Linked DNA regions of Arabidopsis thaliana. The protein of the gene in region 1 interacts with the protein of each later gene in a pairwise test. Each region holds a gene or a part of one and is shown in the gene's direction. Other genes may lie near its edges.

Region 1 (4,322 bases):
TCGATCTTCTGTTGATAGAAAAAGGAAACAGGGAACTGTGATAAATGAAGAGGATAGTGGTGTAGGTGTTAGTGGAAGGGACATTAATCTAACAAAATCTGTCGATACAAAAGAGACCATGAAGCCAAAGGATGAAGGAGGAGAGGAAGAGGATGGAGAAAAATCCAAAAAAGCATCTGACGTTCATTTAAACATTCGATTACCTGATGGTAGTAGCCTTCAGGAGAAGTTTTCTGTGACAAGTATATTGAGAATGGTCAAGGATTATGTGAACAGTAATCAAACAATCGGACTGGGTGCTTATGATCTTGCGGTTCCTTACCCACGTAAGGTGTATACTGACCAAGGTACGTAAAATCTACAATGCATCCAATAGATTTTTATTTTTATTTGGTAAAGAACATTTTACCTTAAAACCAGCTTCATCTTGATCGAAGATGATGTTTTCTGCCATTTAGGTTTTTTTTTTTTTTTTTTCTGGTCAGTTTGGACTAGTGTAGTAGATACATAACTCCATTACTCTTAATCTCTGCAGATCTGGATAAGTCTCTATCCGAGTTGAGATTGTTCGATAGACAAGCACTTGTAGTAGTTCCGCGAAAAAGAGCAACCGTCTATCAAAGAGGAACATCTTACTCGGAGTCTAACAACAACACAGACCCTAATAGTGGCGGTTACTTTGCTTATGTTAGAAGAGTACTGTCTTATGCAAACCCGTTTTCATATTTTGGCGGTGGTACTGCCAACGCATCAAGCTCTGTTCCAGAACGTCAAACAAGTATGCGGGAATATGATGAGTTTATAAAATCCATTCTAATGCAGAAAGTCGTGTAATTGCTAATCTGATTCTCTCTTTTTCTATCTATAGGACCAAATACGGAGGTGAGAAACAATCTGGGGCAAGTAGGGACGTCCTTTCAAGATCCATCAGAAGGTAGGAGCAACGTTAGGAATAGGAGACCAACCACTTCTCGGATTGGAAGTAACATCCATACGTTGAATCACAATGAAGATGAGGCTCCGTTTGGTGATGGAAACGCTTTTTGGAACGGAAACTCCACACAGTACGGTGGTGGAAGCGGTGGAGACAGTAATGATAGACGATGAAATAAGAGAAGTTGAAATCTGTGTGGATAGATACAGAAACAGCTCGGGTGTTTACTTTTTATACTTGACTCTTTATGAACCATTTAAGAGACCAGCTGCAAAATGTATCCTGATGCGTTTCCGTTTTTTCGGTTGCTCGTATTAAATTTAAATCTAAAAAAACTAGCAATTTCTGTTTGATTAAATTCGGTTCTAGAAATTAATTAGTGTCGTTTGATTAACTTCGGTTCCAATCATAACAAAAATATTAGAGTTAAATGGTTGCTTAAATATAAGAATCTGTATATTCTTTTCTATGCAAGTGAAGACTTCATTGAACTGTGAAAAGGCGTTCACTGACAGCTTCTTGTTCTCCTAGCGGTTTCCCTTGTGCTCATCCTCACACCTTCCAAAATATTATCAACTCGGATAACAAAACATATATATGTGATCAACCAGACAATTTTTTAATATATATTTCTATAGTCAACGATGAGTACGCATTTTAATAATCCGGTGAAAGATTAGTCGGACTAACTAAATAATTTTTTTGACATATAATAAACACTTGGACCCCCCAAATTGAGCCTTAAGAAAAGACTAAACCAGTTCTATTAGTTGCGTACAACTAACGATGATCAACTTGAGTGATTTATATCGGAGATCGTGGGTAGTGATACGGGTCAACAATATAAGGATTTAGAGATCAATTAGGAATTGAAGTTAAACCTTTTCAATTTTCTTAAAGTTCCCTGATCCTTATTCATTCATCGTATCCACAACCATTCTTAACATTGCCCATGGCTAAGACGCTGGACCTCTTTTGGCACGAACATCCTTTATATGAAAAATATCGTATGTTCACTTGCCAAGAGTGCCATAGGAGTGCTATACCCTTCTTTGAAGTTTTTTATGGATGCTTCAGATGCAATATAAAATGGCATCCCTATTGCGTGCCAAGGTCAACGAAGAATATTAACCACCCTTGTCACCCGAACCATCCCCTAGAGGTTCTCCTCCAAGGGCCACCTAGTTACTCTGACGAGAAGTGCAGCCTCTGTCAACGGAAACTCTCCAACTTCGTTTACCATTGTAAGTTATGCAATTTCAGCATAGATATGGAATGCGGAAACAGGCCCCCGCCCCACAAAGTGGATCATCCAAAGTGCCACGAGCATGCACTCACCCTCATGGGAAGGGAAGTATCCTTCACTTGCAATGCTTGTGGTACGCATGGTGAACGGAACCCTTATGTATGCCTACCATGCTCTGTCATGTTTCATTATGATTGTATTGATCTACCACACGTCATCAACATCAATCGTCATGATCATCGCATTTCACATTCATATCCTCTCAAACGTGGGAATTGGGTATGTGAAATCTGTCGTCAAGATATCAACACCACGTACGGAGGCTATTCATGCAACAAATGTCCAGATTTTTTTGTTCATTCAAAATGTGCAACTAGAAAAGACGTGTGGGATGGGACCGAACTCGAAGGGATACCTGAGGAAGTAGTAGACGTTGCGCCATTTGAAGTGATCGAGGAAGGGGTAATTTATCATTTCTCCCACGAGAAACATAACTTATTCCTTATTGAGGATGTTTTTATAGATGGTGCTGAAGACATGCATTGTGAAGCTTGCGCCCGTCCAGTCTCTTCTGAGAAGCACTACAAGTGCGTGGAATGCAAGTTTATTCTTCACGAAGAGTGTGCGAATCTTCCTCTTACGAAACGACATGGACTTTCCACAGGTATATTTTATCTTCGCTTCGGGAAGGATTTTAGCGAACAAAATTTCAGTTGTGATGCTTGCAATAGAGATGGAAGGGGTTTTAGCTACAAGGATGAAGAGGGTGTGGTACTCGATGTGTTGTGTGCGTCTCTCTCTTTCTTCAAGCACCCCAAACTTCATCCTCACACGTTATTTCTAACCACAATAGATCGTGGTACTTGCTTAGCTTGCGGTGAGAATAAACTCAATGTGCTGCGTTGTGTTGATTGTGATTATTCTTTGGATTACAAATGCGCCACTCTACCATTAGTCATAAAGCATAGGTGTGATACACATTATTTAGTTTTGCGCTCTGGGGAGGAGGCGCCTGAAGGTAAATATTGGTGTGAAATCTGTGAAGCCGAAACCAATCCTGAAAGATGGTTCTATACATGCGATGATTGTGGGGTCGTGTGCCATATTGAATGCGTAACCGGGGACTTTTTGAACATAAAACCTGGAATAATAATGAAGAACAGGGAGAATAAGTTTGAAGTGGGTTTCAACGATCACGATTCTAGACCAAAATGCACTGATTGTGGCTCTCGTTGTAGGTTCCCTAGGTTTTTCAAGGTTACTAGAAAAAATATTGAGTACTACTATTGCTCAAAAGCTTGTTTTCAGAATGCGAAATTCTGAATGCCTGAAGGAAGGCGAAAGGAAGGATTTGGAAACATAAAAAGAATATGGGTTTTTACAGATGGAGGCTGTGTAATGTTTTTCAATTATTTTCAGATAAACTTGTTTTCTATATTTGGATTTATTGTTGGTTTGCTCATTCAGTTCATAAAACTATTTATGAGAAAGAGAGAAAGAGAGAGAGAGAGACTTTGAAGGTAATTATTCTTCACACCTTTTATTATAATTCACCAAAATTGGGATGTTTGTTCTATTCTTGATCACACGCCTCTCTGTCGCTTCCTTTTGACGTTTTCTTTCTTTTCTTAGCTTTTTCTTTTATCTTTTGTGTTTTCTGTCTTTTCTTTTCCGTAGTTATTTGGGATTCCAAATTTTTTTCATTCCTAAATTTCTCCACGAGCTCATCACCTCCTTTCGTCTCTGCCTCTCATTTGTCTACAAACATTTTTTCCTTTTGATTCGTCTCTCTGGTTTATTGCTCGTTGATCGTTTGTTTCTAAATTGCATTCTGATTTCTGATGGATCGTGATTTTCATCGTCGTGGTCAAGTGGTAAGCATTACACGCAAACACAGCTTTGATCATTAAAAATGTCATCTTATTTAAATCATGTCTTGAGATCACGTAATGGTCTTAGGTCAATCAAGATCAACGCGCAACAAATTCTAATGTTTTTACAAAATTTGAAAATACTTATCTACAAATGTATTTATAAAGAAACCTAATTTGCCTTTGTGTTGATCATGATAGACAATTGTTGTTATTAGCCTGTTGATTTGAAGGCAGAGTCCTCTGTTTTCCTGCAACATGTTAGAACAGC
Region 2 (4,861 bases), on another chromosome or scaffold:
CAATTACTACTTTACTTTTCGTTTTTTGAAATTCAAACTTGTTTATGAATCAAACATATTCTCAAGATCTCGCGCTTCGTTTCTTCTTTTGTCTCAATGAACATAACATATTTAACAAAATTTTAAACGAAATGACTTTATAACAATCTCTGGTGATTTTTATAACCAAAGTTTAAAACAAAAGAGAAGGACAAATGTGGAACACGACAAGTGAGAAGGCCAAAGCGACTGCGTGATAAATCCAAGTATTGCGGCGAATGTGAAGGTCTTAGAATTTTACATATAGTCAACGATCAACCTTAAAATCGTAGTTTCTTTTGATTGCTACAAATTTTCACCCTAAATATGATTAATTTACTTTTATGTTATTGATGATGAATGATTAATATAATTACTCGAAATTGTGTGTTGTGTTTGAACGCAATTACCACAATCTAAAAATATACAAGCTCACTTGAGTTATCACATTAAAAATGTTCTTCCCATAATGTCGACATTTATTACACATTAAATTATTATTTATTTAGTGCATTAAACTGTTTTTTATGATAATCAGTATATTAATAAATGAATTTACACCCATACTTTTTTACACAAACTTCAAGTGTAACTCCACCTCTATTTACTGTACTGAGATTAGTTTATGACACCCTATCCTAATTACTTTGAAAAAAATAGTCTATCAATATGAAGTAATACATTGCATAAATCTGAAATACTTACATACAAACTGAGACCAAAAACTATTGAAGTAAAAATGATATAAATGTACCAAACTATTTAGGAAACAAGGAATTAAGAGCATTGAAATTTTCAAATCGAGACAAATAGAACATTTGGAATCCGTAATCACAGTTCCAAATACGAAGTTTCCAAAGACCTTGTCTGGTGTTTAACGTGTAATCTTGTTCTGTTAAAAAAATACTTTTGACCATACATATCAACAACATCATTTTTAGAATTATTATTATTATTATATTTTTGATGTACTAATTAATTCCATTTCTTTTCTTGTTGTCTTGCTTGCATTCATGGAATCTCCAAACTTTGATTTTTAAAACTAATTATTTCTGTCATCAAACTTGTTTTAATGGTGAACTTATACATTTTTATTATGTAGTAACGACTATTAATAAAGAGATTCCATTCAAAGTTTTGAGTATAATAACCAAACAAATCAATACTACCAATATAAACATCAGTGACGTTGACTAATTCCGCCTTTAAGAAGGTCAAACTGTAATGGAAGATTATAGATGAAGCAGTTAAAGCACATACAAAGCCAACCAAGCTCGTCCAAAAAAATTAACTTCAAGATCTTCTAACTAATTTATAATCATCAAAAAAGTAATTTACTATCTATCCAAAATCCATAATTAAATACTGTTTTTTCTTTTGAGGAAAATCCACAACTAACAAAGCAAGCAACCAGATGCCAAAATTAATTAGAAAGATATTTTTCTCTGACAAAACAAGATATCTGAATATAGTTAAATTAGTACCCTATTTTCTATTAAAAGATTATAATTTTAATAAATTCGAACGACAAGAATATTAATCAGAAGGGTAAGAAAGTAAAACTGTAAAATAAAGAATTAAAGAAAGATAGAGCCCACTACTTTAATCTTCTTCCCTCCTTATTACCCATCTTGGATCCATCTTCGATTTCAACACCTAAAAATAAAAGCTTATAATTAAAGAACCATAAAGACGAACACAAAAGAAACTCTCACATTCTCAAGAGTTTCTTTCTTCTTTCAATGGCTTTACTAACTTTCTTGCCGGAGAACGCAGAGGCGCCACAAAAACACAAGCCAACGTCTAGCAAACGAAAGAAACGCGATAATCCCACCGACCAAACGCAGACACAGAAACATAAACCGCAGAAACCGAAGAAAGCAGTACCTCCGAAGCAGCCATCTTCATGGGACCAAATCAAGAACCTATTGACTTGCAAACAAATCGAAGGGTCAAGAGTCCATGATCCTTCCAAGAACTCTCAATCTGGTCCGTCCATGACAACTAACTTATCTCCTTCCAAGCTTGGCTCGTCGTGCAGCTCCATTTGCAGCTTTAGAGACGTGGCTCACGGCAACACTCGTGTGGTTCATAGAGCTGATCACTCACCAGACGTAGGTAACTCGGCTACTCCTAACTCGGAGACTCGGCTTCTGACTCGGAAACCTGGTCAACACGGTTCTTCTTCGTCTCGGTCTCTTACATCTGGCTCAACGAGATCTAACGCCAGTGGGAGTTACACGTCATCGTCAACGACTTCGTTTAGAGCCATGCAGTTCCGTAAACTCTCCGGATGTTACGAATGTCACATGATCGTTGACCCGAGCAGGTAATGACACCAAAAATTAATTATGAGTAAGTAAATGTTCTTCTGAATTATATTTTTGTAATTTCATTTTCATGTTCTTGAATTTTAGGTATCCGATTTCGCCTAGGGTTTGTGCTTGTTCCCAATGTGGAGAAGTTTTCCCCAAGCTTGAAAGCTTAGAGCTTCATCAAGCAGTTCGTCACGCAGGTAAGGCTTTTTTTTTCCTTTTAACAAAAATTGTTTGACTTTATCACTTACCTCAAATTAATTAATTACGCTTTAGCTACAATTTTTTATTTTTTGGTGTGTGGTAGTCACATTTTTAAATTTAACCCTAAGTATCTAGTGAGATTTTCGTAAATGCGAATGGCTTGGCAAAGTAAGATTATGTTTTGTATCCTTGGAAAAAAACTTAAGATCTCAGTCCATGATTTGACTTGTGAATGATGATACAACCTTTGTTTGTTTAGTATTGATTGAATAATTAGCATTAACACATGTTTTCCGGCGTATAGGCCCTTGGATTTATCGATAGATTTACCATAATGCTAAGCAAATAATTAACGAACATGCTTTCATTAATATATATCTTAGACTTCGTTGTTTCTTAATGGAATCAAGATCTCAGTGTTATTGTCGGTGATTATATCGATCAAATAAGTTAGGATGATTTGGCCGTATGTTACAGATTGTTTTTGGAATAGAGATTCATACGTATTTTTAGAGAAAGATACAAAAGAGAATAGGAATATAACTGGAGAACAAGATATATTCTATGGTCTCCAAATCCGTCGTTTTGCTTGGAAACACTTACCATGCGATGGGACCATTGTACTATAAAAAGAAACAGCTGTCTCTGCTCTTAACTAAATTCAATGTCCCCCTGAAATATTACGTGTCATTTTTCAATTCGACAGTATCAGAATTAAAACCCCTCACCTGACAAAAACCGAATTATAGAACTGTCTTTAATGTCCCAAAAACTCAGATTTTTGTTTTGACTTGCATATTTTTCCTGATTTTATGAGCAAAAACGTTGTCGTTTAATTGCAGTTTCGGAGTTAGGTCCGGAGGATTCGGGTCGAAACATAGTGGAGATCATATTCAAATCAAGCTGGCTTAAAAAAGACAGTCCCATCTGTCAGATCGAACGGATATTAAAAGTCCACAACACTCAACGTACGATCCAACGGTTTGAGGATTGCCGAGACGCAGTGAAGGCGCGTGCACTTCAAGCAACCAGAAAAGATGCTCGTTGTGCCGCCGACGGCAACGAGCTCTTACGTTTTCACTGCACCACTCTCACTTGTTCACTCGGAGCTCGTGGCTCTTCTTCTCTCTGCTCTAACCTCCCTGTTTGTGGCGTCTGCACCGTGATTCGCCACGGTTTCCAAGGAAAATCTGGTGGCGGAGGAGCCAACGTCGCAAACGCCGGTGTGAGGACGACGGCGAGCAGCGGAAGAGCTGATGATTTGCTGAGGTGTAGCGATGATGCGAGGAGAGTGATGCTTGTGTGCCGTGTGATCGCTGGGAGAGTTAAGCGAGTTGATTTACCGGCGGCGGATGCTTCGGCTACAGCGGAGAAGAAGTCAACGGTGGAGGATAACTCGGTGGTTGGAGTTTCTTCGAGTGGTGGTACGTTTGACTCGGTGGCGGTCAATGCTGGAGTTTATTCGAATCTTGAGGAGCTTGTGGTTTATAACCCGAGAGCTATATTACCTTGCTTCGTGGTTATTTACAAAGTTTTAGAATCTTGAATTTGTAATTTTAACTTGAGAAATAATGTTTGTTTTTTGTACTTCTAACTTTTTAATATTATAGGGAGAGATTAGGGATAATCATCAACCTGCATCATAATTCCCATCTTATTATTGACTATTAAGTGTAATTCTCAGGAGTCTAAGCTAATATGTTCTTGGTTATCTCTATTATTGAAAATCATGATTAGGTTAAGAATTCAGTAGTCGAGTGGGTTAAAAATCATGATTATGAATTATGATGAACTTAACGTGTTATTTCTCAATTTAGGCTTTTTGACCAGTAAATGTAACATTTTGTTAACTATGGTAAATTTCATAGCTGTGTTCACACTTGGTGGGAATCAAATAGTGTGGGAGTGGCAGAGTGATATAATTGCTATCACATGCGTTTTCAGTAAATTATTTTATTCACCCAAGTTCTTTTCGTTATTTTTTAAGAAATATTTATAGGGAAAGCTGATTTTGTAAAAGTTGGGTATTGTATAGTTTTAATTTAGTAGTTATATAGTGTTGTCAAAAAAAGAAGAAGGAAATAGTAGTTATATGGTATGGTTCAGATAAGTTCAAAATTTACCCATAAATAAAAAAGGCTTGCACGCTGAGAGGGTGCACCATTGGAACTTTCCTCGTTGTCAGAAGCTGCTACATTGTTTATTTTTATAATAACTCGATTTCTCCTTGGAGTTGCAAATGAAATCAGAGATTTAGAATCAAACCAGTTTAATATTCGAGTTTTACAACAAATATGTCTAGCATAGGTTAAAATTCAGAAGTT

Evidence for each region. Proteins that work in one complex are often made in the same cells at the same time.
Region 2: the proteins of AT2G43220 (region 1) and AT1G75710 interact in a two-hybrid assay, tested with the Arabidopsis thaliana proteins (one large-scale study listed by BioGRID).

The regions. Positions count from the first base shown.
Region 1 is NC_003071.7:17,962,454-17,966,775, forward strand, and holds AT2G43220 (Cysteine/Histidine-rich C1 domain family protein), read left to right. Parts: upstream 1-1,765; 5' UTR 1,766-1,886; coding exon 1,887-3,503; 3' UTR 3,504-3,758; downstream 3,759-4,322. Other genes in the region: AT2G43210 (Ubiquitin-like superfamily protein), read left to right, coding at 1-347, 536-778, 869-1,107; AT2G43230 (Protein kinase superfamily protein), read left to right, coding at 4,022-4,054, 4,140-4,207, 4,317-4,322.
Region 2 is NC_003070.9:28,427,046-28,431,906, forward strand, and holds AT1G75710 (C2H2-like zinc finger protein), read left to right. Parts: upstream 1-1,625; 5' UTR 1,626-1,760; coding exon 1,761-2,347; intron 2,348-2,435; coding exon 2,436-2,533; intron 2,534-3,379; coding exon 3,380-4,083; 3' UTR 4,084-4,294; downstream 4,295-4,861.